Linked DNA regions of Rattus norvegicus. The protein of the gene in region 3 purifies or fractionates together with the protein of the main gene of each other region. This does not show direct contact. Links are inferred from orthologs where the notes say so. Each region holds a gene or a part of one and is shown on either strand. Other genes may lie near its edges. The genes, in order: Ap2m1, Clta, Cltc, Myo6 and Ptpn23.

Region 1 (6,268 bases), on a different chromosome or scaffold from region 3:
AGCACTTAGGCAGACCTCACCCCATGAGGATCACCTGCAGCTGCTGGCGGCCTCCCCTCCACGTCACCGAAACCTGACCTCTCTACAGGCTTCCCTCTGATACCCCAGCAGGGTCAGGAAGGTTCTGCACTGGCCTGCTCCTGAAGGGGGAGTCAAATGGTAACTATGGAAGGGTGCGTATAGTGTTAATAAACTGAGCCCTAGCCCTGTCTTTACTTCCCCAGATACACCCAAGATGTCCCCTCTCTGCTTTCCAGAAGTTCCAGGCCCTGAAGAGAAGGAGATCTCTACTGGGCCCACCAGTGGGAAAAGCCAACTCCTCTGGTAGTTGGACAAACTTGTATGACCTCAAGAAGACTCTGCTCTAAAGGGGAAGAGGGGCTGTGGACTATGCCACCCACCTCTTCTCTAAGGTCTGATTCCTGAAGTTTAGGGAATAAAAAATGATGAAGGAAAACAATTGGAGGGGGGAGGACCCCCAACCCACTTGTACCTGAGCGGCAGCTTCACAGGCTGCTTACCTATTGCTACATCAGCCAATGAGATGGGATGAGAGAAATGACGTCAGCGAGAGGAGAGTGACAGCAAGGAGAGAGAGGGTTAGACGACACACAACACACCACGGTGGGCAGCACAGAGCATGAGGGAGAGGCGGACAAGACAGGCAACAGGTAGAGAGCACACTAAGGCATGCGGGGTGTCATGTGGCCCAGCGGTGGCATAAACCAGGACCATCCAGGGTGGGAGGAGCAGGAAGGGATGGACCAGCCAGGTTTACTTAGGCTAGGCACTGCCACAAAATCTAGGTCAGCTTTACCACCAAAAAAAAAAAAAAAAATAAAATAAAAAAAAAAAAAAAATATATATATATATGGATACAGCCACACCAAGCTAGCCCATCAGCCAGGGAGGCAAGAAGGTAGGAGAGCTATCAGAAGTCTCTATTTATCTCAAGGGTTTTTTTTTTGGGGGGGGGGGATAACCAAGGTAGGAAGAACCAGAGGAGCCTAACCTCAGGTTATACAGTGGAGGAGGCCAGAGCGTGAAGCAGAGAGAGAAGTGAGGCTGCAGTGACTCTTTGTAAGACCTGAGGTCTTAGGCGCTACCCAGGTCCACCCGGATGAACTACAAAGGCAGCATGACCCACAGAGCGCAGCCTGTTCACAACCAGGGAGGGTCCAGAAGAACAGAAAACAGCTGAGTCAACAGACTAGAGAGGGGTTTTAAGGGGATCTAGGGAAGGCTCTCAGTATGAGAAGGATTTGAAAGCAAGATTTAGATGGATTAGTACCACCGAGCACACACTAACCACACCCACAGGAGATAGTGCTCCCTCCTGAAAGGAAGAATCAACCTGACCAGGCAAAAGCACTCATCTTCAGCCACCAGACCAGACCTACAGGGAGCAGGAAGGGCAGGAGTTCCTAACCCTAGGGGGTGGAGGTGTCATCCCCAGGCCCTGAGCCTAGCAGCTGGGCCGATGCCCAATGGAACCAGGCTATATTGCATGCTCAGGCTGAGGCGATGGGGGGGCTGGGGCACAGCGTGCTCAGGCAGGGGACTTACCCGATGTCATCTCTGTAGACTCGGGAGATAAGCACCTCCCCCTTGTGATTATAGATGAATAAGCCTCCGATCATGGCGGCAGCTCAGTCTCTGTGACCCATTGCTCTGAGAACAGACCTAGGTAGGAAAGGTGGGGATAGGGAATGGGGAAATCTTTAGATCCCTTGCCCATCTCAGCGGGGCTGTACAGGGCTGCCTTTTTTCCTGACTCAGTCCTCTAGCAAGTGACCCTGCAGCCCTCCCAAGGAAGCCCCGCCTGCACGCACAGCGAGGCTCCAGTTCCTGTTTATTCCACACTGGATAGGAGACAGTACTTTAAGTGTGGGGCCCAGGGTTAAGGCCATTTTACTCAGTCTTTTCTGAGGGCTGAGCTTGAAAGTAACCACCCCCCCACCCCCACTCGCACCCCTCCCCGTCGTCTTCACAATGCTGAGCTCAGCTAAGATTCTTTTCAAACCCCTGCTGTGCAGACTCTCACTCCCCGCAACTTCAGTGAGTCAGAGAAAAGCTTGCCCGCGGATGCAGGAATGGCGGTAGGGATTAGGCGGTAGGAGTTAGCTTGTGCCCGCCACCAGGCATAACTTTTAGAGCAAGCACTATTCTTCCAAGAAGGCAGCAGAGCATGACCGTCTACAAGGCTACACATTCCAGGAAAGGGTGTGCAGAGTGAGGTGGGGGTGGGAGAAGAGGCCCTTAGGCTCTAACACAAACCCAGGAATGTGGCTGAAGCAGGCTCGTCTTCCCCAGGCAGTGAGATAAGCAGGCAAAGGAACAGAGAGGCCCAGGGCGAACAAACCACGCTCCAATGCTCCCAAGTTCTTCTTAGAAAGATTTCATTTTTACCTTCACATAGGTATGCCAATGTGTGTGCTGTGTGTGTGGAAGTCTAGACGTCAGGTGGAGCCCTGCCCTCCATCCCACAAGCCTGAGTTACAGGCAGTACTGAACCAAACGACATGGGCTGAGACCTGAACTCAGGTCTTCTGGAAGAACAGTAAGGACTCTGAAATGCCAAGTCCCTCTTTCCTTTCTTTTCTTTCTTTCTTTCTTTCTTTCTTTCTTTCTTTCTTTCTTTCTTTCTTTCTTTTTGAGCCCCCTTTACAATTATTTCTGGTCACTGTCTTATCAAAATTTCAAAATGTGACAAAAATTAGGTCTGTATGTAGCATTAATCCTGCTAAATTGTGACTCCAGAGCTGCCAAGTCAGTCACTTCTGGCCTGGTGTTTACTAAGCAATGGGCAAGGTAACAGAATGTCTCAACTGCCCAAATTCATTTGGGTCAAAATTAATTTAGAATATTTAAGAAAATAGGTTAATCTGGTTCTAGATTTTTCTGGATTAACCCTGGTATTAATTTCACTGATGTTAGTCTAACAAGACTTTCTGAAACTGAAAAGTTAACCCTTGAAACCCAGTCACAAGTCAACTAAGGTAGTGGACACACTTGTCTCACAGTTCAAAGAAGGTGAGAAAGAAAATGCAAAATGGAGGTTGTCCCCTGAGCAAAGGACCAAGTCCACAGGTATCAGCCGAGGGTGGGAGTGGTGGTGGAGGTGGAGGTGGCTGTGGTTGTGGTGTGTGTGTGTGTGTGTGTGTGTGTGTGTGTGTGTGTGTGTGTGTGTTGTGTCCTGGACAGAAATGGAATATTTAGTTAAGGGACCGATTAGCTGTAATTGCTAGCAATAGACCAGGATGACCCCACAGCAGCAAATACAGCTGTGGGAGTCCCTCAAGTTCTCCTATGACAAAGGTCATAGGAGCTTTGGAGGAGCAAAACAAGGCGAAAAGATAGACAGTAGAAAAAGAGAAAGCTGAGAGATAGGGCCTACTCTTCTTTTAGTGAAGCATGAGGGGTTGGTGGAGTTTTTCTCAGCAGAGGGGGGAGACATCTAGGCCGAGGAGATGTCACCAAGGGATGCGGGGGCTGTCATAGGTCTGAGGTAGAAGAGCAGTGGGGGGTAAACCAGGAGGAAGGAATCTCTCAGTGTTCCAGAGAGACCTGTCACTGTCCAAGGGAGTGGCACCAGGGGATGTCAATGTCCTGGGGGATGGGAGAATGGGAAACCTCGGGGTTGAGCGGTTGTCAGGATTCTAGGGATGGGGCGCCGCGCGGGGTCCCCGGCTCTAGGATTCCGGCCCGAGTCTCCTCCCGGAGACGCCCAGCGGGTTACTGGAGGGCGTCGTTCCCCGCCCTTGCTGCAATCGCGCCCAAGGCACCCCCGCCCGGTCGTCTGCTCCCTCCCGGGTCTGGAGGCTGAGGCCACTCCCGGGTGCGGGCAGTTTTCCACCCAGCACAGTGCGGGGCAGGGCAGGTGACCACGGCACCCTCGCCGCCCGGTAAGGATCTCTAAGTCAAGCTTCCCAGCTCACCTGGAGTCAGCAGCCCCCACAAGGCAGGCCTGGCCACTCTCGGATCCCAAGATGTCCGCCCGCCCCCAGCTCGCCTGTCTGCTGCCTCCGCTTTCACTGCAGTGCTCCCGCCCCGCCCCGCCCCGCCCGCAGCTGCGCCTGCGCGCTCACCTCCAGCGGCGACTACAAGTCCCGTCAGTCTCCGAAGCTTTCAAGCTGACACATCCGAGTGCCCTAAGTCTAGCAAAACTACAACTACCGACAGCCTTCGAGACAGAGTCGACGTCGGCCTCAGTGCGTCTTGCTGGCAACACGGGTCATGGTACGCTCCACAGACTATTTGCTTCACTGAGAATCACGGGAAGTGTAGTCTCTGTAATCCTTCTCGTTCCTAGTTAGAGGAGGTAGGCTTTAAGAGACCAAAGCTGTTTGTTGAAACCAATTGTAAATTTTGAATTATTAGATTTTTATTGTCTCCAGATTTCGAAGAGTGGCTATATTCACTTTACAAACACAACTTGCATAAGCCCGTTACTGCTGAATTTATTGCTTTTTAACACATTTGATTCTCCCGAGGTTTTATATATATTCCAGGATAGGACTGAGCCCTTTCTCAGGGATAATTATCCAAACAGAAAGGCTGGGAAGGAAAGCACTAATTCTTGGTAAAACATTAGTGTTTTTCTCAGCAAAATCTGTGACTGTGGTGTGCTGGTGACATATGCCGTTAATTCCAGAGCTCTGAAGGCAGAGGCAAGAGCATCTCTGTGAATTTGAGGCCAGCCTGGTCTAAATAGGGAGTTTCAAGACATCCCAGGCTACAAAAGGGAGCCTGTTTGTCCACCACTCCAGTTTAGTTGGGCATGGGATTTTAAAATCCCATTTCTCATCTGGGCAGTGGTGGCACATGCTTTTAATCTCAGCACTCAGGAGGCAGAGGCAGAGGCAGAGGCAGGCAGATCTCTGAATTCAAGGCCAGCCTGGTCTATAGATCGAGTTCTAGGACAGCCAGGGATATACAGAGAAACCCTGTCTCAACCTTAAAAAAAAAAAAAAAAGATTTCTTATGATATCCAAACTGAGAATGAGGCAGAACCAACCCGAACACAAACGGCTGTCTGATTTTTGCCAAATCTAGAAAAGTTGGTTTTTCTCTCAGTGGACAGAGACATCTGTTGCCTAAACAGGCCAGAGACTTCTATGGCAGAAAGGAAGGGGTGGGTGTTCAAATCTGGTTGCTAACCCTACTATTCCTAGCAACCTCCTTCCAGAAGCCAAAACCCAGAAACTTGTAACCTTTGAAGGCTTCATGTCTATCTTCACAAAAGCTTTCTCTTCCCAACATACCCTAAAAGTTTAGAGTAAATTAGTGATAACAACAACAACAACATAGAAATAGAAATAGTAATAATAATAGCTACCATTTATTGAGCACCTACTCTATTATGTGCCAGGCACTGTGCTAGGCACTTTTCGTACAATATCTAATTTAAATCCTCACAACAACCCTGTGAGGTAGGTATTATTATCATCATTTTACATATGGGAGGACTGAGGCTCCAGAGAGGTTAAATAACTCTATTACACAATCAAAAATGATAGAGCTGGAAATCAAGCCCAAACCAACCTGACTCCAAATCCCATGCTCTGTAATGTAAGGAAGGGAGAGGAACAGCTGAACTTCAGAGTGTCTGAGTATAAGGGTGTGAGATGCTGACTAAGCCCGTGTAGGTGTGGCTTGTAATGAAGGTCACAAGGGCAGGAATTCGAGAGGAATAATACTTGGCTGGGGACATATGGACAAGCCTGGGGAGATGTCCAGTGGGGAATAAAAACAGATCTAAAGAGAGGGGAAGCTGGGGTGGGAGATCCAGATTTAGAAGTGGCCAGCACATCAACAGCTTAAGAAGAGAGTGGCTGACACTATGGGGGAAAGGGGGGAAGAAAGGGACATGAGCCAAAGGCAGGATAATGGGAGCACTGGTGAGGGATTCTCAAGAGAACAGGAAAAGGCAGAGTCAGAGAGAACTGAAGACAGCGAAGATCAAGTCATGCTTCTAACATAGCCCTTTGTTCATTAAAGTCCCTGGAAATATGTTAAATGAATGTCAAAATATCCCTACCTCAGGTTGCCCCCAAACCTGGGCTAAGGACATCTTGATGGGGGAGACATTTGCTGGGGCATGCTAGGCAAGCACTACACAGCTATTTCCTCAGCTGACACCCTTGACTGAAAATTTAAAGAGTCTGGATAAGTCAGAGTTTATAGCGGTGTTTTAAGGAGGAAATTATGATTTAAGGTAGAAAACAGTTAACTGGAACGGTCTGGAAGCCCCAGTTGTCTGCTCGTA
Region 2 (5,521 bases), on a different chromosome or scaffold from region 3:
TTTGGGTCACGGGGATGGGACTCAGGGTGTCGGGCAGCTTTTTTTTTTTTTTTTTAAAGTGCAAATGAGTGTTTTGCCTGCATATGTGTTTCTGCACCACTAGGGTGCCTGGAACCCATGGAGGCAGGAGAGCACTGGAGCTCTTGGAACTGGAGTTACAGGTGGTTTTAAGCTGCCCTGTGGGTGCTGGGAATCAAACCTGGGTCCTCAGAGGGCCTCCAGTGCTCTTTACCCCTGAGCCATCCTTCCAGCTACCTTCTCCACTGAAGTATTTTGCCTTTTGATCCCATGGCCTCACTGAGGCATGGGGGCTAGGAAGCTGTCTTGTCACTGAGCTCTGTTCCAGCCCTGCCATCACTTCTTAAAGGCTACTTAGTAGCGCATAGCTGCTACAGTAGCAATATTATATTTTGCTGTATAGTCCTTAGTCCTTCCCTCCAGCCCCGATTGACAGGCTGGAATCTTATGTCTTGCAGATGCGGTTGATGGAGTGATGAATGGCGAATACTACCAGGTACGAAGTGCTCTTAACTATATTAAGTGATGTCTTAAGTGTGATTTGAACTGACTAACCTAAAAGAGACCCCAGTGCTGGTTCACTGCCTACCAGAGTGGACAGTGGAAGTGGTAGAAAGAGCTTTTTTAAAAAAACGAAAATTGAGATACTGGTCGTCATCCTCAATTCAAGCACTGTGTGCCTTATGCCATACCCAGCACTATAGAGGTCACTAGTGACAGTGTAGTCCTGGCTGTCCTGGAATTCACTGGACTGGGCTGGGTTCCCTCACAGTTTCACTTGCTCCTCAGCTGGAATCCACCACTAAGCCCGGCAGTCACAAGAACTTTAAGTAATTCCCCTTTTCTCTTTGTTAGAGTCTAATAAGGCTAAGCGGGTAATGATCCCCAGGTGGCCACATAGTATAATTCTCCAGTCAGTTCGCAACTATGGGTTTCCGTCAACCTGTTATTAGCTCTCAGGTCTTTACCCACCACAGAGAAGCCTCCCTGCCCTCTGACTCATAGTCACCCCCATTTTTTGATCCTTCCCTGATTTGACTACAGTTGCTATACTTTTGAATTCTTTCCTAAAGTTTACCGTCTGGCTAGATGTTATTCAGTGACTGTTCCCCTGTGTGGTAAAATGGCTTCTGAAGTCTTAGGCTCTAGGCTTGGCTTTGCTCTGTGCTTATTAGCTTTGAAGGCAGCACATAATCTCCGAATATGTCCCTTACCCATCCAGCCTCAACTCTCCTGTCACCCACTTGTGTCCCGCTTTTCAACAGATAGCAACTAGTCTGCCTCCCTCCTGAGAGCGCAAGGACCCAGCTCAGTAATGTTGCGATGCAGGAGGCTCTCTGGTGGCTTGTAGGGTTCTCTTACTGCTTTAAGTAGTCCTTTAACAGTTACAAGCCCGCCTTCTATGTGACCTGACGTTCTACTCTTGTGAAAAACATTTCAGAAAGACTTGGGGGCACTGATGGATATAATTGTTTTGTGTTAAGGAGAGCAATGGTCCAACAGACAGTTACGCAGCCATTTCAGAAGTGGATCGGTTGCAGTCAGAGCCTGAAAGTATCCGTAAGTGGAGAGAAGAGCAGACAGAGCGCCTGGAAGCCCTCGGTAAGGAATTCCGCTTTGCTTTCAGGTGTCTGCTTACAGTAGAGTAGTTGACGAGAACTGTACTCTGATCCCCTTTAAGCTTGCATCGGCCATAGTGTCTCTGTTCAGTGTTGAGGAAGTTGTATTTCTCAGCCTAAAGGTCACAGGCCACTGGCAAGGATAGGCTTCATCAGCGGCTACTGCATGAAGAACTCGGGAGTGTAGGGAGGCGTCTTCTCCAGGAAGTGAAAGGCTCAGTTCAAGATTGCACCTTGCTGACTGGGTGCCTGGTTCCCGTCTTTCACTGTCATCATCTGAGGGAGTCAGTGATGCTGACTACAGCTGAGTGCTGTTGACAAGCATATGGGAACTTGAGGTACTGCTCATGTGAGCGACACTGACGGTTCACTTCTCATTTGAAAGATGGATCTACTGTTAGGAAATGTGTCCGTACCTTCCCATGCTGTGACAACATAGTGGACAGAATCAACTGAAGGAAGAAGGTTCAATTTGGCTCACAGTTTCAGACATAGCTGCTGGCTCTATTGCTTTCAGGTCTGGGAATAGAGAGACTTCCAGGCAGAACAGACAAAGGGCATCTGTTCGCCTCATAGCAGATAGGAAGCAGGGAAGTAAGGATGTCATACAGTTCAGAGGGACTCTCCACAGCCACCACTTCACCCAGCCTTTACCTCCCCTGTTACCACATCTCCCAGTGGTCCATTCAGTCATGGATCAGCCCATGGATTAGGTCGAGTCTCTTACAGTGCAGTCACTTCCAACAGATAGCACCATGAGCCTTTTTTTTAAAGTCCATAATTGAATTTGTGTGTGTGAATGTTGTAGCAGTGTCTTAGGGTTTCACTGCTGTGAACAGACACCATGACCAAGGCAACTCTTATAAGGAATTTAGTTGGGTCTGGCTTACAGGTTCAGAGGTTCAGTCCATTATCATCAAGGCGGGAGCATGGCAGTGTCCAGGCAGGCCTGGTGCAGGAGGAGCTGAGTTCTACATCTTCACCCAAAGGAAGCCAGGAACAGACTCAACATCCTAGGAGAAGCTAGGAGGAGGGTCTCCAAGCCCAGCCCCACAGTGACACACTTCCTCCAACAAGGCCACACCTTCTAATAGTGCAGCTCCCTGGGCCAAGCACATTCAAACCGTCACAAGCAGCATGTCTGTCTGTGTAGTGTGTCTGGTACCTGCAGAGGTCAGAAGAGGTTGTTGGATCCCCTGCACCTGGAGTTACAGATGGTTGTGACCCATAATGTGGATGCTGGTCTTCTGCAAATCAACAAGTGCTCTAAATTCCAGAATCTTCTCTCAGGCTGTCTACATGAGTCTTTTTAGGGGATCCTATCATTTCCAAATCATAACATGGACTTTTTTTCTTTACCTTATTATCCCTGTAAGGTAAGGGATCTTTTTGCATTTTAAAAAAGTATTTATTTTTTATGTGCATTGGTGGTTGTGACTGCATGTATGTCTCTGTGAGGGTGTTGGATGCCCTGGAACAGGAGTTTCAGATGATTGTAAGCCACCATGCGGGTGTTGGGAATTGAACCCAGGACCTCTGGAAGAGCAGCCAGTGCTCTTCCCTGCTGAGCCATCCCTCCGCCCCCCCCCCTTTTCATTTTTATGAATAAAGGTATTGAGGATCATAAGTAGATTACATTTGAAGCACACAGCTAAGGAGTGTGGTAAAAACAAGTTTGGGTTTGTCTGCTCTGCTGAGGCTCCACATTTACCCCACGAGCCACGTGGCTTTCTACGTGCATTTTGTGTACAGGGCCATCTAACTGGGCAGGCCAAGCCCTACCGTGGCATCAGCTTCTTGTTTCTCTGGCTGTCCTGGAACTTGATACTTCGATCAGACTGGCCTCAAATTTACAGAGAACCATCTGCCTCTGCTTTCCAGGTGCTGGGACTAAAGGTATATGATATCATGCCTAGCCCTAACAAAAATAATTATAATGATTGTTAGAATACATAGAAAGAATATAGTCCAATCAAAACACTTAAAAATTGTAAACATGTCAAGGTTCTATTTTGAGACCCAGGATTGGACTCAGGCCATCAGGCTTCTACCCCAGAACCATCTTGCCAGCCACAAAAGGGGTGTGATTGGGAAGTGATTCCAGTTTGCAGTTAGGTCAGGTAGTAGATTTTTATTTCCTTGAAGCTCACGTGGCCTCCTCAACTTCTGGAGTCTGATGGCAGAGTAGTTTATCCTCTGCCCTGTGTGTGCCATGGGCAGGACTGTCGGCAGTTCTCTGCCGGTATGTCAGAGGCTTTCGGGGGAGCTCATAGTATACAGTCTTGTGTGAGTGCCAGGCAACTTCCGGTGAGTTAAACAACAAAGAAGAGAGTCTGTAATAGCAGGACGCCTGGAGATGGCTCTAGACACAGCCTGGCCCAGGAGGTTAGTACGTGTCTGGCAAAGGGCAGATGCCCAGGAATACTCTGCTTCTTCAGGCCTTCCTTACTTGATGCCACCCTGCTTTCACTCTCCTTCTCCAAGGTGCTAATTACAGGTTGGGCTCTTACTCTGTGCTTGGAGACCTCTCTGGATTACTTGATGGTTATATAATCATGTGATTATTTCCAGGTTTGTGTACTGAAGTGAGTCAAGTGTGAGCTTGAGAGCAGACTGGGTCTTTGCTCGCCCCTTATCCATGGCAAGCTTACTCAGCTTTTTGAGGGCTTTTTCCTCCCTTACTGCTGAAAAGGAACCTAAAATTTATCTTCTTGGGAGTATTGTAAAGATTGAGGTCCATGAGAGGATGTCCCCAAGACCATGTTTAACTGTTAGCAATTCACATGTGCTGCTAGCAGTGATCATGCTTCCCTGCCTTTGTGACAGGTGGTCTTCAACCAACATCGTGCAAAACTACATTTAATCTAAAACTTGACTTTGGTGGCTAAGAGTATTGACTGCTCTTGCAGAGGACCCCAATTCAGTTCATAGCAACCACATGGTGGCTCACAACTGTCCGTACCTCTATCTCATGGGTTTTCATATCTCTGGCCTGCATATGTGCTGGATTGTGTGTGAGCACACACACCAAAAAAGAGCTTGCAAAGGAGAAAATGTTTGCGAATCCAGGGTAGCAAACCTGCAGATATGAATTCTCTCTGAACTTACTACTGTCTTAAGCCTTTTGGTGATTGTTAACCGGTGACCCTGTGTCCTTGGCCCCTGCAGCTCCCTCCATCCCGGTTTTCTTTCACTTAGCTCTGTTACAAACTGACTGTCATCCAAACTGGAGTAGGTATTCTGTGGTCCTGTGTCCTACCATTCTCTGATTTGTGAGCCATTTCTACCTCTGCTAATTTTACTGTTAGTTTCCTGCCTCGCCAAGTGTTTCTGCCATATTTATAATTAGAGTAACTTTGTTCGGGGTGTGGACTGTGTACATTTCTAGAAGAGTTAGAAGAATCTGTTCCGTTAGTTGGGAGAGTACTTGCCCAGCATGCACAGAGTCCTGAAGTCAGTCCCTAACACAATACAAAACTGGGCAGAGTCACACATTTCTGTAAATTAGCATTCAGAGGGGGAAGCAGGAGGTAGAAGTTCACAGTTTTCACCAGTATCATAGGTTAAGGGTCATCCTGGGCTACATGAAACATTGGCTCAGAAAAAGAAAAAGTTGTTATTTATGCCCGTGCACCATATGTGTGAGGTGCCTGTAGAGGCCAGAATGAGGGTGTAGGGTCCCCTGGAACTGGAGTGAACGATGGTTGTCAGCTACCATGGGATATGGGTGTTGGGATGGAACCCAGGTCCTCTGGAAGAGCAGCCAGTGCCCTTAACCGATGAGCCATCTCCCATCATTTTTCCCAACATCTGTATGCTCAGAAGATACGTCGGTAACTTCTATAGGACTACAGTGTTATACGTTGACATGAACTTATTTTTGC
Region 3 (6,321 bases):
TACATTTGGTGCATACACTTACATAAAAACACTCAAACGCATAAAAAAAATTAAAAAGACTAAATGTAGGTATTAAAGAACACCTGAGTATAGAACAAGCAATAGTGATAAATATTTTTAATTTTATTTATTGTATGTGTGCACAATGTGTGTGTGCATGTATATGCATGCCATGCTACATATGTGGAGGTCAAAGGACAGCTCCGCATTCATTTAGTGCAGGAGTTCAAGTGCCTTTGCATAGCAAAGTGCCTTTAGCAGCTGAAGCATCTCACTGACCTGATTGTAATAAATTTTGCAGCTAAAACTATGTAATTATTCACTGAAGAACGTGCCTTGCCAAGCTGAAAATATAAATATTAAAATCTAATCACTATCTGTGTGGTTCCATAAGTTAACTGCAGTAACTTCAGCTTTCTCCTTTCTAAAAGGATGCTAAGTTAAACTACCTAGAGGGATGAACAGAAAACATTTAACAGGTTTTTAGTACATAAAGGTATTATTTAAGTGGCTGTAACAGTCAATAGAGTTTGATTTGGAGGGCAATTAAGTTTTGACAATTATTTCTTTCAGAGCAGAAAAAAAAAATACTTCCCATAATAGAAAAGAAACTCAGAGCCTACATTTGACAGATGTACTCTGCAGTAACACATTCAAATCCAAGCTTTTGGCCATCCCTTCAAGTTAATAGCATTAACTGGAGTTTCTGGGTTGATGGAAAACACCTAGAACTCCTTAAAGTTGAGTAAACTAACCTTTAAGAAAATTCTGAAAAGAAAGCTGTCTCCAGTTCGAAACTATTTCCACGGTAGATCAGCGTCTATTTCCAGGTGTGCACTCTTCCCGTCTACCTAAGCATACATTATGTCCCAGGAAAACACTGCTTTCTCTTCAAAAACCAACCCTGGCAAGAATCCTACTATTCAACATTATATTGCATGCCTTCACTTATGGATCAAAGCGAGAAGAATAGGGTGGAGAGATTTACAAATAAAAATTAGAAGTATCCAAGTGTTCAACAAAATGTGCCAATAGCAAAATGCTTAATATTCAAGGAATTGAAAATTGCAGGCGGTGGGATTTTGTTGTTTTGTCCTTTGAGACAGGGTTTTGCTGGCTAGCATTGAACTTACTGTGTTCTGCAGCCTAGAATTTGTTCAGAATCTGTAACTCAACAAAAATTCCTTCATCACATAAAATATTAAAATTATGTGATGTAGTTCCAAGCCTTGATGACAGATCTTTATCTAAACACGTACAAAGGGATATGAAAATAAATAGCAATTTTTTATTTGCAACACTCTCATAAAAAGCTTAAAAAAAATGTAGAGTTTGCTGTTAACTTTCACAAGTGAACTCTACACTCTCTAGTTCCTCATTTTCCAGTTCTTCTCCTAAGCGTTTTAAAAGTTGTTTTCTAAGCAGAATGGCAGAGGCTTGGAAATCAAAGACTTAAGATGACAACTGAAACACTCCTTACACTGAAGTGTTAAGAGAGGGATAAAAATCTGAGATCAGGGGGTTGGAGATTTAGCTCAGTGGTAGAGCACTTGCCTAGCAAGCGCAAGGCCCTGGGTTCGGTCCCCAGCTCCGAGGGGGGAAAAATCTGAGATCAGGAGAATACATTATCTTGGAAAAGATGGTGATTTGCCCTTTTGACGAAACTGATCACCATCTACTGGAGTGGAATCCTACCAGCCAAAGCTTAAAGTGTAACATGGTCCTCCAAAGAACAGACAGAGATCTTCAAGAACACTTGTAAAGCTATTTTATAAATATTCAAAATCTCCAAATTTAGGAAAACAGTTTCAAGTATTTGCAGAAATTGTTACTCACATGCCACACCTGCATTAAATTTGTTTTTAATTAGTGACAAGTTTGGATTCCAGTCTGTAGACCATTCAACAATTCTGGTCTCGTGTTTAACAGAAATGAAACACTATTACTCAAATCAACAATGATCATGTGATCAGCAGCTGTCTTTGCTTCTCTTGAATATGGTTTATATACATATTTGCAGAAGGCTATTTCTGATAAACTTCAGTGTGGACAAGGGTTAATTCCAAAGATGGGAGGAGAGAAAACAGCAATCCAATTCATGGCCAAATTAATTAAAGCAAGCAATTAATTAAAGCTAGTTTTTTTTTTTTCGTTAATGTACACAGGCTGCCTCCCTCTTAGCTCAGCTTGAAGAGGTCAGCACACTGTCCGCTAGCATCCAGAACAGTGCCTTCCTAACTCTTTATTTTCTTAACAGAGGAAACTCAAACAAGCTTGAATTGAGGACAAAATTAACTTCTCTGTCAGGATTGTCACTTGACATTTTTCAGACTTTTGCAAAATAGAGATCTTATTGCCAAAATCAGGTGAATTATTTGAAAACTAGTGATGACTGAAGAAAGTGTATTTAGCTCATTTTATGGGCAAAGGTCTATTATCATTTACATTTAAAGTCCTAAAGTAAAATAATTTTTTAATGTAAGCAACACGGTAAAAGTCTATAAAGAAATATTTAATTATTTTACTTGTAGCTGAATTTTAGTTAACCCTGTTTATTATCAAACATCTTTTACGTGTATCAACGGAGAACAGTAAATCAGATTGCCTTCAATGATAAAGCACTCAATAAGTTACCAATATTTGAACTGGATCGTTACACCTTCCCTCATGAAATTAGCCCTTCAAAAGATGAAGCTGAAAGCAGATTTCTTTATGGGGATATTTGGGGGGAAGTAAATTATTATGAATAAATTATGATGTTAAAGAGTCAGGACAAGAGAACCAGGAAAAGCAGCAGTTCAGAAGAAGCTTAATTCAGCGAAGCCCTCCAATGGTCACCTGCCTAGGCCAACTGCTGGCATGGTGCCAGGTTAGACAATGGTGTATTGACTCCAGGATAAGGTGCAGTGGGGGGAGGGGGGCACCCCAGCCTATTAAAAAGAAGCCAGTTATAGATCAACTTGTCAGGTACTGTCTCAGAGCAGGTATGCATTTACAGCACTCCAGGCTCTGTTGAATTCCACACAGTCCTGTGAGACATACTCCTGCCTTAATCCCACAACTACCTGCTAGATTCCAAAAGACCATAAATAACCTCTAAATAACTCTCCCTACCTACAAGAATCAAAGTGAGTCTTAGAACTACACTAACCCTTGAAGAAACCAAGAAAGGAAAAATATGCGCGTTCCCCTTGGGACCTTGACCCCAGGCACCCTGAGACTGACACCGCCCCTAGCCGCCCCTCTATCTTCTTTCTGTTCCTTCAGTGAGTGTGACCTTCGGTTCTTTACAGATTCAGGGAAGGCAAGACACAAGCCACTGCTACCCTAACCCCAAGGTGCCTTTCTCAGCTGTGAGCTGCAGAGCGAAGATGCAGCTCCTCCCCAACCCACCCGCCACACAATTCCTGGGTGCAGACTCGATGTGGAAATCGGAATAGACCAAGGGAAGGTGACAGCCCTGCATCGCCCGGAGTTAACGAGAATTCTTGCTCTGGGAGAAACGCGCGAGAAGCTCCCCCACCTAGCCCCTACCCAAATGAATGAACTGAGTAAAATGGGAAGGGGGGTCTGGTATGCGCAGTTCTTGCAATCCAGGAAGCAGAAATAAGAGGCCGTCAGACGTAAGGCCTGGCCTCGCCGCCCTTTGCACTCCGATTCGTCATTTCCATCCTAGTCTCATATCGTTTAACCCTTTAAGCTTTTAAGACAGTGTCCTTCCTCCATCAATGCCAAATACCGACACCCCCCCACTCCCGTTCTCTCGATCCCCTTCGGGCCGGGCCGCTAGCTTCCTTCCCAATACCCTCGAAAAGTCCCTCAGCAGCCCCGACTAACACGCACCTGGAGATGCTCCTGAAAGCGAATTGGCAGAATCTGGGCCATGGCGCTGTCGGGGAGTATGGTCTCCTCCTGTCACTGGGGCTGCAGGGCAGTGCCTGCCCGGGCTCTCCAAGGGAGAGGAGGAGAAGGGGAAGGGAGGGGGAGGTTGGGCTCAGAGGAATACTCTCCGGGGACGTAGGGAACTGGCAGGCAGACGAGAGAGCTTGGGTCGGGGGCGGAGGCTCCAAGGGCCGGGAGAGCCGCAATGGCGGAACCGGGAGCAGCGCAGACTCCGGAAACGGCTGAGCCCTGCGGAAGGATCCCGGGGCAGAACTCCGCCCAGCCTCCTCACCCTGTCCGCCTTATGTAGCCTTCCACGAACCCCGTGCAGCGGACAGGCGTAGGAATTCAGGGACGCAGTGCGCGGATCGCTCTTCGCTGATGCGGCAGCGGGGAAACAGAGGAACCGAGGGACTACTTTTTCTAGACTCATCACTTTCCCCAGGCTCCGGTTTCTCCCTCCTCCCCTCCCCCCCACCTTTTTTTTTTTTTTAACATTTTGCCACATCATGCGACTCGGGGCGAACTACGTCATTTCCGTAGGCGCTGTAGGACCCACCCACGCACTTCCAGGTGCACGTGATGCGGGTAGGGAAGGGTCGGTTGACGGCTGCCAGAGTGGAGGGCGAGAGTTAGGGACTGGCCGCTGCTCCTGGGGTTGAGGTGGCCGTTGAGCCCCCTGCCGGCGTGGCGACCGGGGCGTGAGGACACCGAGTGCCTGAGGAGAAGGCCGCGGCGTCGGCGCCGCGGTGACTAAGGGAAAACGGCCCCGCCGCAGCGCTCTTTGGGCGGCTGACTGCGGCGCGCCTCCCCCGCCCGGTTTCACGCAGTGGGTGGTTGCTGACACCTCAGGGAGGGGGGATCGTGCTGAGCTGCAAGCCTCCCTGCCCTGACGCACGCCCTTCTGACGCCAGGAGAGCCGGATGGCTCTCGAGTGCCTCAGATAAACCATCTCAAAGGACAGTGAAGGCCATGTGAGAAGTGTCTCCTGCTGGCCCTGGAGAGAGCTTCCGCGGACATTTTGGTGGACTTACACCAGCCTAATGTAGAGATTAGTTTGGCCTTTGAGAGTTGGGAGTGTTCGGCAACCTGAAAATCTTTAAAGGTTTAGATCAAAGGATGGATGGTGAAAGAAACCTCGAGGGCTTTCTTGGAGCGGAGGGATTGACTGTTGGTCATACACGTTAGTAGGATCATTGCCTGTAGTAGCAAAGTGGGCAGTGTAAGCTCTTCAAAACCGGAGCACCTTGCCTGACTACAGCACTAAGGTATCTGCAGCATTCATTAGCGATTCATAGCCGCTCCAGAGCTCTTGCTAAAGTGTAAGGTGTAATGTTTCACAATAGCACCAATAAGGATGATTTAGAGAATTCAATTCCTCATATTTCATCTTAATTCCCCTGAAAGTTCTTGAGAAAGTTATTTTCAATGCCCCTTTCACCTAAAGAACATAAGACACCACTGGGTATACAATAATTTTGTGTAAGCGGTTTTGCTTACAGAAATCTGCTTAGTCATTTTAGTTGCTTTTAGTGTTTCTCCAAATACTGCCTTTCATACCTGGGCTGAGAGAAACAGGCAAGTGAGAAGGCAGTCAGCCCCCCGTTGTGAAGAAGAGCCTTGCCACCATATTTAGGATGCTTTGTGTTTGTATAATTTCACTTAAACATTTGAATGCTCTCTCCTGCAACGTTTGAAACGATAGTTTTAATATGAGTCTAAAGACTTTAAGTCTTTTTTTAGAAGTGGACAAATTCTAAATTCAAAGGGAGATATTGTTTTACTGCAGAAATGTCAGTAGCTTAATCAAATGGCATTTTCAATCTTAGAATTTGGGGTGTAAGAGCAGATCACCACAGTTTAATTTATTGACAAGTGCCTTATACTTTCGTACACACTCTGCAGTTGTAAGGACATTTCAAATCCCCAGAGCAGTTGATTTTACTTCCTTGGTGTGGAATACCTAACCAAAAAGTGCACTGAGACTGCTTTGTCATCACACATAGAAATTTCAAGAATGAGTTGTTTCCAGAAATCATTAAGAAGAAAAGTAGATGGTGATAACCCAAATCATTTTGCTTATTAATAGGACTGTTGTCTTGCCTGCCAGATTCTCTTCTCAGCCTAAGTATGAAAGACAGTATTGGAGAAAAACACTAAAAGCAACTAAAAAGACTAAGCAGATTTCACTCAGCAAAGGCACCATAAACAGTTAAAGCACTTTTTTTTTTCCAAGCGAAAAATGGTCTAAATGATAATGCTACCCAATGCATTGTGGTGCTCACGTGTAATCCTTACACTAGAGGCTTCTGAGACAGGAAGATCTAGAATTCAAGAGAGCCCCACCACATAGCAGGACCTTGTTCCCCCAAACTAAAACAGCCTCCAAACTGGCATGCCCCTTAAAGATCAGTAATTTGTTGTAATAAAAGATGTTTA
Region 4 (5,521 bases), on a different chromosome or scaffold from region 3:
ATTAAAAGCCATTCATTTCCATAAAGCAATTCTCATAAGATCGTGATGAATATGTTATTCCAGCTATCAGAATTGGGAAATCTAACATTTCTTTAACTTCTTAAAAGTAAAAATGATTGATGTGGCTATCTTTGCATTTCAGATGTATTCTGCAATATGCAACACTGCTCTTACCAAGCCGTCCTGGCCCCATTTCTACTAAATGTTCCAGTGGCCCTCAACCTTCCAATGCTGCCACCCTTTACTACAGCTTCTCATGTTGTGGTGACCTGAGACCGCATAATTATTTTTGTTGCTACCTCATAACTGTAATTTTGCTAGTCCTGAATTGCAATGTAAATATCTGTTAGGCAACCCCTGTGAAAGGGTCATTCCACCCCCCAGGTTGAGAGCCACTATATTAAATGCTATGTCTTTTTTAAAAATTAGCCTGCCAAATGAATTTATGAAACACAGTTTACTTCCTTCTGTAAATTCACAGTGAATATTACGGGAGCCGTCTCTAAGAGTCCTACAGTAAAGGGATTTTTCAACTTCAGGTAGCCTAGAATGTCCTGGTATGATTGGACCTTAGTTGCTGTTTTATCATTTTGTTTTTTCAGAGCTTCCCAATTAACATTCTGCAGAGAAACTGTTTGGTAAATGAGCATGGTGTGTTGTTCCAACACAGTCTACAAGTGGGAGGTGTGGCACAAATAGAATATTAACATATACTTTCCTCTAACATGCACTATATATAGAATATTAACATATCTTTCCTCTAACATGCACTATATATATAAAGTCGAAAGCACCAACCCATGAAAAACTGTGGACAGCTTTTGGGGCAGCTTCTAGAATCTTAGCAGGAATTTGACATTGGGCCAGGACAGGGAAGTAGACTCAGGCAGGAATCTGACTTTGGGCTAGGACAGGGAAGTGGGCTCAAGATGAGTACAGCGGAGGAACGTGTTCTTTGTATCTTGGTGGGTCCTTTAAGACCCTGAATACAGTAATCATGGGACCTTCTGTGCTTTGTTCCTTACCTACCCTCTCTATGCTTTGTTTGTTCCTTAACTACTTTATGAGTTAGCACTGACCCTATTCTTTGCATGTACCTAGAATGATATAAAAGCAGACAAGAAAAAAAAACATGCCTGCTTTAGTCTAGGAACCAGCTGGGATCATGCTACACTGTTGTCTAATTGTCTTTTTCTTTTTAATTCTCACTCCCTCTCTGAAGAACTCATTGACTGACTAGACTGGCTTGGTCAAAAACCACTTATATTTTACTTGGAAAATGATGCGGGATGAGGCTCTCTTGTCTTTTTTATCATAGTATTTTTATAAATATGCACTATTGCCTAACAAAAGATCTCAATAATAATGTGCCTAGTTCCTTTGTGCCAGACCCGGTTTACTCTTCTGTTAGTAAAGATTTACCTTCTGAATCCTCCCTCATGCACAAAGCTATTTCAGGTGGTCTGAATGAGCTGATTTCCACACAGCTCCCAACCATTAAGCTTTCACCACAGACCTTCAAGTTATCCAAAATATTTTGCACTCACTCATGTTCTAGACCAGATATAATCAGCTGCTACAATGTGGCAGAAATACATTCAAACTCAGCTCACTCCAGTGTACTGGAGCCCAGAGTCCATGAGGCGGGGAGCAGGAGAGGCTGCAAAGACAAGCTGAAGCCCCACCACGGTCTAGAAAGACAGTCTGAGAGTTCAAACTCTGCCAGCCATTGAAGGAAAACTAGAAAAGCCTTTGCTTTAGAAAATATAAGCAGGGCGGGAAGCTGGCAAATGACTTTGGAAACTAATACAGTTATAATGTAAGTGACAAAAGAGGCCCCACTAAGGTACTGCCAATGAGAATAAAGGTTTATACTCTCAGAAGGTGAAATCCACATCATCCCATAACTATTGAGACTTGAAAAGAGAGACAAAAATCCAACCGGGTGCAGCTTGCTTAGCATGTGGAAGACCCAGAGTTCAATACACAGCACTTCAAATTAAATAGATTGGGGGTGAGAGGAGTCAGAGACAGGAAGAGACACAGAGACAGAACAGATCATCTAAGGTAGATACCATTTTGGCAGAGAGAATTGTTTCAGTTAGAATCTGAGAAAATGGTGAGGTGCGGGGCGTCAAGGAGAGAACGAGAGTTGGAGGAAGAGAATAAATTCTGTTTTCTTAGGACATGGTGGAATTCATAACCCTAGAACATATCTCAGATAGTGAATGTCATGAGATCTTCAGAAAATAAAATGAGTCTATACATGTTGGGTTAGGTATTGAGGGACCATTCCATCAGACACAGCAGGAACCAAAGGTACCCATTAGCACCCAGACAGTCCCATGACATCCCTCAAACCATCTCACTTCCAAAATAACAAATCTTGGTGTGAAATAAAGCATAGTTTGGTGAGAAGGTGTTGTTGTTGTTGTTGGTGGTGGTGGTGTTGTTGTTGTTGGTGTTGTTACTGAGACAGTCTTGATTCAAGGAAGGCCTTGAACTTTTTCTTCTTTATTTTTCTTTAATGTGCATGTATGTATGTATGTATGTATGTATGTATGTATGTATGTATGTATGTATTTTGCCTGCCTGAGCACCTGATACATGCAATGCCTGCAGAAGCCAGAAGAGAGAACTTAATTCCCTAGACCTGAGTTACACACAGGTGTGAGTTGCTGTGTGGGTGCTGGGAATCAAACCCAGGTCCTCTGAAAAAATAACCCATGCTGTTCACCACTGAAGCCATCTCTACAACCCCAAGACATTGAACTCTTGATTCTTCTACCCCAGCACTAGGATTAAAGAATGAGCTACTATGCCAGAGGGAAATACTTACGTTTGATGACTGACAGTGAACACCACTGAACTTTCTTCCAGCGACTACAGACTAGCCACAAATTGACTCTCTTCACCAACTCTGCTAAGTGATCAGGATCAGACTTCATAATCTGATCAAATTCTGCAAACTAAGAGTAAGATAACTTAGCATCAGCATTAAAGGGTAAATGTGCTCAAGTAGAGAGGAAATAACTACATGGATTTCAAATTCCAAATATAACTTCCTGAAAATGATTAAAATTCAACTCCAAGGATATCTTAGCAGGGTATACAGAACACATTTGGCCACTTGTCATGGCCCTTTCCTTCTGCCTTTCCTTCATCGATTTATTGGAAGGTAGGAAGGAATACTTATTTATCCCTAAGTAGCAGCAAAAATAGGTATAAGAAAAACTCTTAAATGACTGATTATGGAAAATTTGGCAGAAATATTTGAGGGAAAATGTTAAATGGGGCCAACACGTCTGAACCAGTTCAACCACATTCTCAGACATCCACATTGCTCAACAAGTAAAGGTCATTGAAAGCAGGGGAGCCACCAAAAGTCCTGTCTCTCCCAACTCTAATTTTAGACAAAAAAAATAGGAAATTACTGCTAGGAGACAGACCACGCAAATACAATACTTTTTCTATTTACCACAAAATTCCAGAATTATTTCCATTCTTCACCAAATATCACACTGCAGTGTTAAAGGTGTCATATGCCAATTAACAAAACAAGTGTTTAATCATAAAAACCGTAAGAGTAGCATAACAAGACTATGAATCTCTGAATCTGCTTGCTTTAAGCTTTCAACAACCTTCTGCATCTTTCTGGAGGAAAATAATCCAGGTTCTTTCTCTATCCATTAATTAGTTACTATAGCTCTGACACAAGAGAGATGTTGAATTTATGATAAATAACACAAAGTAATGTGAAGCCAGCCATGAACACCTATATTTTTTTCTCTTCATTTTTCACAGGAAATGGTACAAGTTCTGTGACAAAGACACCACAGACTAGCAATAAAATTGCATATTTTCATCCTGTGCTAAAAAATGTGAAATTAGATTTATTGTAACTATTTTGTTCTTGAGACACTAGAGAGAGTTGACCAGTGGAACTAGTGAGCTGCAATAACAACTATCTTTACAATTGTAACTATGTAATCAGTAAGTCAGTGTCTCAAGTGTTAGGAATATGGACGTGGTATTCTTAACATTTGTGGACAGCCCTAGGTGTTTGTGTACTGAATACAGTTAGCTCTGACATGCTCTGCAGTCAGTGAGTATCACAACTGCAGTACTATGTCAGCTTAAAAGCAACCTAACGCATGCAGTGTTTACACATTCCCTTACTGTGAAACTTGTCAATAGTCAGTACAAATCCAATCGAGTTTCATATGCTTTATGTATCTATCATACTCCAGTGAAACTTTCTCACAAGGAAAACTCCAACATGCTATGAAACTCACCAAGCGAGCTGGCACATGCTTACAGCATTGAGGAGTCTGGGCCAACTCAGATGGAGAATTCTGTGACAGCTTGGGTTACATGCTGAGCTATCTAACTGGCACATTATTAAAATATTATAGAAATAGTTTCAACTTATTTAAAATGTTAGAAAGTTTTGGTTAGTCCTTATTTAAGAAAAAAATTAACAATCCTCTGATTCCAATACTGAGTAAAACTATAATTTAAACTCATACGAAACAACCCCGAACAGGAAACCTGTGTGAACAGAAACATAATCTCATGCTGTTTCATATAATGCTGTAGTGATATAAATCGCCAATAACTAAGGAAATACATATGAAGCCCAACTGTCATATATATTTACCTTGCCAGGTCTGAAAAATACTTTTGTCAGCCCAAACTTGTAGTCAACTTCATTTAATCCCAAAGCTTTAAAAAGAGCCTGAAAAACAAGTTTTAAAAGTTGAGTTTAACAGAAAAGATTTGTTGGTGAGAAATTTCTATTGAAGTGGCATTTATACCTTACAAAATAGCCGTGGATCCAATCGTGCGAGTTTTTCTGGCATGTACTTCTTGTACATGTTATAGAGTTCATGAAATGAGGCTCTTGAAGGGAAACCCCCTTGCATGAGGTCCAGCACAGACACCATACCTAGAGTCATAAGCACAAATAATTTCCAGTCACAGTATGTAAATTCAGGGTGACATGTGAGTAACCCATCAATTTTACAAGCTAAAGTTTATGAAAAGAGCTTATAGTGAGAGTATATCAGAGTGAGGACGACCCAGGGAATCACACCTCCAGTCAGTGTGTCCAGCTTGTTTACCATGTAAAACAGACACAGGGAAAGCCAATGAAGTCAGCACCACTGAGCATTTCCCAGCGGCAGCCCATCCAGAAGGCTCCAATGTGACGTGTATCTTTCTAAATTCCACAAAAGTCATAAAGCAAATCCTGCCTTTGACCACTTTAAATCCTGAGGTTAATTTTAGAATACAACTTCTGAAAAAGTCTCCATTTCTATATTTTCCCAAGAACTAATAAGAAGCAAAAGAGAATTTATTATTTAAATATTATGTGCAACTTACACATACATACACACACCACATAGACACACATACTACACCACACACACACACATAGATATCCACACCACACATACCACACGCACCACATATATACATCACACACACACACATACACACACACACACACACACACACA
Region 5 (5,003 bases), on a different chromosome or scaffold from region 3:
CTGCTCGGCTCAACGGTTCCCTCGATTTCTTTTCCTTGGAGACCCACACTTCCCTCAGCCCCCTGCAGTTCAGAGGTCAGTGGGCCTGGGGCCAGCAGGCAATATGTATGGGTTGGGGAATATGTCTGCAGGATGCCTTTTAAGAACCTACTCACTGAGCTTGTCCTCCTTAGGGACCCCAGGGAGAGGCAGTTCTCCTTCCTCGCCTGTGTACAGCAGCAGCAACACTGTGGCCTGTCACCTGACCCACACAGTCCCCTGTGCACACCAGAAACCCATCACAGCCCTGAGAGCAGCAGCGGGGCGCCTGGTGACAGGGAGCCAAGACCATACTCTGAGAGTGTGTATTGTTGATCTCTGGGTACTGGTGAGCTGGAGGGGGTAAGGAGCAGGGGGACCAAGCTAGAGGAATCCTAGAGGAATGACAGCAAGCACTTCCTGGCTAAAGCACAGAGCACCTTGGCAAGTCCCAGAGACCAGAACCTGTCCTCCCTGTCCTAGGTCTTCCGACTGGAGGATTCGTGTTGCCTCTTTACCCTGCAGGGCCACTCGGGGGCAATCACAACTGTGTACATTGATCAGGTAAGGGACCTGTGGTGGGGCTGTGAGGTTTGCCTCCTGGAACGGTAACGGGATGGGGACACTGTTGATAAAGGCCTGTGACTGAGTTCCTTTGGGCCTCTTTCCCCAGACCATGGTATTGGCCAGTGGAGGACAAGATGGAGCCATCTGCCTGTGGGATGTACTAACAGGCAGCCGGGTCAGCCATACATTTGCTCACCGTGGAGATGTCACCTCCCTCACCTGTACCACTTCCTGTGTTATCAGTAGTGGCCTGGATGACTTCATCAACATCTGGGACCGAAGCACAGGCATCAAGCTGTACTCCATTCAGCAGGTGAGCGGGCGGGGCATAGGGTGTTGGTGTTTGGGACTCGCACTCACATTCAAGACCTCTTCTGGCTTTGCCTCCAGGACCTGGGCTGTGGTGCAAGCTTGGGTGTCATCTCTGATAACCTTCTGGTGACCGGCGGCCAGGGATGTGTCTCCTTTTGGGACCTAAACTATGGGGACCTGTTACAGACAGTCTACTTGGGAAAGAACAGTGAAGCCCAGCCTGCCCGGCAGATTTTGGTGCTGGACAATGCTGCCATTGTCTGCAACTTTGGCAGTGAGCTCAGCCTAGTGTATGTGCCCTCTGTGCTGGAGAAACTGGACTGAAGGCAGGTCAACTGCACTATGCCTTTCCCCCATCCCAAGGTGGGGCACTGGGGATTGCAACTCTTTGGACCTAGACTGGAGGCAATAGGTAGGCATCTTTGCAGCTGACTCAGAACTGTTGTCTCCTGACTGTAATAATAAACTTTTTTTTAAAAAACCACATTTACCAGGGTCCAAAGGTACTGTCATTCCACTCCCTTCTCAGAGCTATCCAAGAAATGTGGGGATTTGAACAGCAAAGGGAGAGGTGTTTTTGGCACTCCTGAGGTAACAGCAGGTGAACTCGGACACTGGCCACAGAGTAAGTTTATTATGTCAATAGCCCAGGGCTGGAAAAATGTCAGGTTCCGCAAAGGAAGGAGCAGAGCCTGACTGAGGCCTGAAGTGCATCTCCATCTGGCACAGCTGAAGGCAGCAGGGATGGGAGGTGTAGTGTAAGGACCAGACAGGCAAAGCCTTCTCAGGTCTTGTTAAGTGTCCAGAGTGGATCCAGGAGGCTGAGGGGGTCATCCGTAGGTTGGGCAGCCCTGAGACCCTGCCCGTTGTGAGCCTGCAGAAAGTTCTGCTTGCTCATCCGCTGCTTTCCCCGCAAAGAGCTGTCCAGGGAAAATGCTTCTGGAGTCAGAGAGGCCAACAGCTCCAGGGATGACGAGGGAGGCCCTAAGCTGGGGGCTTCAGGCACTGATGGCTCCTCCTCTGGCTGGGGGGGTTCAGGCAGAGGGGAAGAGGGGGGGGGAGGTGAGGAAGGTGGGGCAGGGGTGGGCTCTGGAAGGCTAGCTGGTGGAAGACCTGGGGGCTCTACAAGGCTGGGAAGGCTGGCAGCGGGGGAATCCAGGCCACCCAGGGGCCGGATGCTGAGCTTGGCAATGGTAGCCTGAATGGAGCTGATGGGCACGTCTCCACCAAGGACCAGATCCTGGGAATCCTGAGGAAGGTGGCTCTGAGAAGGGAGAGCTAGTAAGAAGGGTGTCACCAGGTCGTGACCATCCCAGTGGCCCTCAAGAAACTGCCCTCACCTTCTGGCTGACGCTCATGCTGGCCACAGGCTTGCCAGGAGGCGGCACGCCGTGGCGCTGCAGGACCTGCTCCACATGTCGCACCAATGCCTCGTGGCAGAACTTGAGGTGCAGCTAGAGAGACATTTGGTCTAATCAGCTGGGCGGAGCCATCTCAGCAAGGGCAAGCGGGACCCAGCTCCACCCACTCCGCCCACTTACTTTCTCCTGCAGCATGTGTTTCCTCTGCTGCCGCATCCGCCTCACCAGCTGAGGCAGCTCAGGAATCCCACTCCCAGCCTCTACCTCCTGCACGGCGGCATACAGCAACGCAAAGGCTCCTGTGCGGCCCACCCCCGAGCTGTGACAAGAAAGGAGTATAAGGCCAGGCTAAGAGCCCGCAGGACACAGCCTCATGCTGGTAGCTGAAGGCTCCCTACCTGCAGTGTACGACAATAGGTGTGTGCAGGGGTCGCTGGTGCAAATAATGTGCGTGCACCTCCTGGATGAAGCGCAGCAGATTGCCAGGGCTGTCTGGCAGGCCTCTGCAGGGAAAAGCAGGTATGAACCCGGCCTGATGTGAGGCCTTCACCCTTAAGCACCCAAGGAGTTTGTCCTTGACCCCACCACCCAGAGCCATGAACGCACAACTCAGGCCAAGTAGGGAAGTGTAGGTGCACGAGAGAGCGCTTGAGGCTCTGATCCCGGAACTGCAGGCTCAGCACTCGCTCCACATGGGTATCAGTAGTACGAACACTGCTCAGGGCCACGCTCAGGGCCCCGTGCACCATGGGCTGGCCCCTCTCAATGGGGAAGTAGCGGGCCACCTTTTGCTGAAGAGTAGACAAGACAATTCAGGCTAGCTCTCCTGGACTCCCGGCCTCCCCACTCCATGATTCCCTCCTGGTTCCCATCTAGGCTCTTACCTTTTCCATCTCAGCCTCAGACACCAGCATGACAATGACGGACACTTTCTGTTCATGCACCATGAGCCAGAAATCTGCAGCTGTGCCAGGCAGCGGAGCCTGGGTGGCCACTAAGGGTGGACAGTATGGCGAGAGCCCCTCCACACAGCTAGCATTGATGTAGTCGTCTTTGCCTGAGCGCAGCACCACACGGTTACTGTCATACGGCATGACGTCCTGGTGCCGGTTCTTCAGGGAGTAGCAGCGGGCAATGGCAATGGATCGGCCTCGGGCATCGTGTTCCTGGGCCTCCTGCAACTCTCTCCAGACAGCATCCAGTGCTCCTGCATCCCCCAGCTGGCCCCGAAAGCTCTCCAGCTCCTGCTGCAACTTCTGCAGCCTCTCAGGATGTTCATAGGGGTCCTGCTCAATTAGCCGCAGGGCCTGTGGCCGTCGGCCCTCCGCTGCATCTACCTTGGTAGGCTGCAGCAAGGGCTGCCCGCCCCCAGGAGGCTGAGTCCCTCCATGCTGGCTCTCAGGGCTGGAAGACAGCAGGTCTGCAGCTGCAGCACCTCGGCGCAAACATGGTGGTGGCTCTGCTGTTGGGGGTCTTGAAGGTACTGGGCCAGGCCCTGGCGATGGGGCAGGTGAAGGCACCAAGTGGGGACTAGGGGCAGGCTGATTGGCTGGTGGGGGACCTCGAATGGAGACAGGGGTTGCCTGAGGACCCAGGGGCCTAGGGGAAGGGGCAGGGCCATATGCCAGGGTGGGGTGAGGATGAGGAGGCCCAGGGCTCGGGAAAGGCAGAGCCCCTGAGTGTGGGGGAAGAGTGTCTGGAGGTGGGCCTGGGTAGAGCTGGGTGTGCCGGGTGGGTGGTGGCTGTCCCAAAACACCAGGCTGAGGAGTAAAAGGGTAGGGGGGTGGTGGTGTGAGAATCCCTGGGGCCTGAGATGGGAAGAGATGTGGATGCTGGAATGGAAGGGGCTGTTGTGTGGGTTGTGGCCCAAATACTGGCCGTTGGGGCTGGGGCTGGGGCTGGGGCTGGGGCTGAGGCGGAGGCTGGGGCTGGGGCTGGGGCTGGGGCTGGGGCTGAAGCTGAGGTGGGGGCTGGGGCCCAATCCTGGGGGCTGGAAAACTGGTAGGGATCCCAGGAGGAAAGTGATGCTGTGGTAGAGGGCCTGTGAGGTGCTGCTTGGTCCCTATAGAATAAGTATAGGGTGTGGGCAGAGGCTGCGGCTGGGGAACAGATTGGGGTACAGGCTGAGGCACTGGAAAGCAAGGCTGGGGAGGAGCTGGGGCAGGGCCTGGCCGTGGTGCCATGTGGCTAGAGATAGGGGCTTGGACACTATCTACTGTGGTGGTAGCTGGCCGGACTGCCATGGCTAACTCAGGTCCTGAGAACTGGGGTGGTGGAGCAGAGGGAAGACCTACGACTGGTTGGGGTGGCCCTACCCCTGCATAGGGACTGCTTACAATTCCATGCTGGGGAGAGGATCTGGGTACAAGGCCCAACTCCGATGTATAGACAGGGGCTGGGTAGAGGACAGGTCCAGGGGCCATGGGCACTGCAGCCCTAGGCTGCATCAGCTGAGTGGGGCCTGAGTAGGTTCCAGGTGGTAAGGGTCCTGAGAGATAGTGGGTTGCTGGGCCTGTGGAACCAGGGAAGGGGCCAGGAGAAAAGTGGAGAGGGGCAGCAGTTCCTAGGAATGGGTCAGGCAGCCGTGGGCCAGCCATCATGTCAGGGGGCAGGCTGCGCAGCTCCTCGGGTTGGTCTCCAGCCTCTGCGGCCTCTCCCTCCTCACGGCGGGACAGCAATGGCTTTGGGGCTGTGGGCCGAGGTGGTGGTGCCTTCTTCTTCAGCTCCCTAAGGGGCAGGCAGGGG

The links.
Region 1: the proteins of Cltc (region 3) and Ap2m1 purify together in Homo sapiens (affinity purification with mass spectrometry; 3 studies listed by BioGRID and IntAct, with this or other methods). This does not show direct contact. The link is inferred for Rattus norvegicus from reciprocal best matches to the Homo sapiens genes CLTC and AP2M1.
Region 2: the proteins of Cltc (region 3) and Clta purify together in Homo sapiens (co-immunoprecipitation; 6 studies listed by BioGRID and IntAct, with this or other methods). This does not show direct contact. The link is inferred for Rattus norvegicus from reciprocal best matches to the Homo sapiens genes CLTC and CLTA.
Region 4: the proteins of Cltc (region 3) and Myo6 purify together in Homo sapiens (affinity purification with western blotting; 4 studies listed by BioGRID and IntAct, with this or other methods). This does not show direct contact. The link is inferred for Rattus norvegicus from reciprocal best matches to the Homo sapiens genes CLTC and MYO6.
Region 5: the proteins of Cltc (region 3) and Ptpn23 purify together in Homo sapiens (affinity purification with mass spectrometry; 3 studies listed by BioGRID and IntAct, with this or other methods). This does not show direct contact. The link is inferred for Rattus norvegicus from reciprocal best matches to the Homo sapiens genes CLTC and PTPN23.

What each region holds. Positions count from the first base shown.
Region 1 is NC_086029.1:93,864,515-93,870,782, forward strand, and holds the start of Ap2m1 (AP-2 complex subunit mu), read right to left. Parts: upstream 3,967-6,268; 5' UTR 3,939-3,966; intron 1,684-3,938; 5' UTR 1,641-1,683; coding exon 1,567-1,640; intron 1-1,566.
Region 2 is NC_086023.1:63,046,693-63,052,213, forward strand, and holds part of Clta (clathrin light chain A), read left to right. Parts: intron 1-476; coding exon 477-514; intron 515-1,502; coding exon 1,503-1,620; intron 1,621-5,521. UniProt on the Homo sapiens protein: Clathrin is the major protein of the polyhedral coat of coated pits and vesicles.
Region 3 is NC_086028.1:72,066,709-72,073,029, forward strand, and holds the start of Cltc (clathrin heavy chain 1), read right to left. Parts: upstream 3,984-6,321; 5' UTR 3,886-3,983; coding exon 3,844-3,885; intron 1-3,843. UniProt on the Homo sapiens protein: Clathrin is the major protein of the polyhedral coat of coated pits and vesicles. Two different adapter protein complexes link the clathrin lattice either to the plasma membrane or to the trans-Golgi network.
Region 4 is NC_086026.1:90,088,762-90,094,282, reverse strand, and holds part of Myo6 (myosin VI), read right to left. Parts: intron 4,949-5,521; coding exon 4,818-4,948; intron 4,739-4,817; coding exon 4,661-4,738; intron 2,970-4,660; coding exon 2,840-2,969; intron 1-2,839. UniProt on the Homo sapiens protein: Myosins are actin-based motor molecules with ATPase activity. Unconventional myosins serve in intracellular movements. Myosin 6 is a reverse-direction motor protein that moves towards the minus-end of actin filaments.
Region 5 is NC_086026.1:119,237,704-119,242,706, forward strand, and holds the end of Ptpn23 (tyrosine-protein phosphatase non-receptor type 23), read right to left. Parts: intron 4,986-5,003; coding exon 3,143-4,985; intron 3,050-3,142; coding exon 2,865-3,049; intron 2,762-2,864; coding exon 2,657-2,761; intron 2,578-2,656; coding exon 2,439-2,577; intron 2,352-2,438; coding exon 2,238-2,351; intron 2,162-2,237; coding exon 1,682-2,161; 3' UTR 1,510-1,681; downstream 1-1,509. Other genes in the region: Scap (sterol regulatory element-binding protein cleavage-activating protein), read left to right, coding at 1-75, 174-340, 502-582, 692-898, 976-1,221. UniProt on the Homo sapiens protein: Plays a role in sorting of endocytic ubiquitinated cargos into multivesicular bodies (MVBs) via its interaction with the ESCRT-I complex (endosomal sorting complex required for transport I), and possibly also other ESCRT complexes.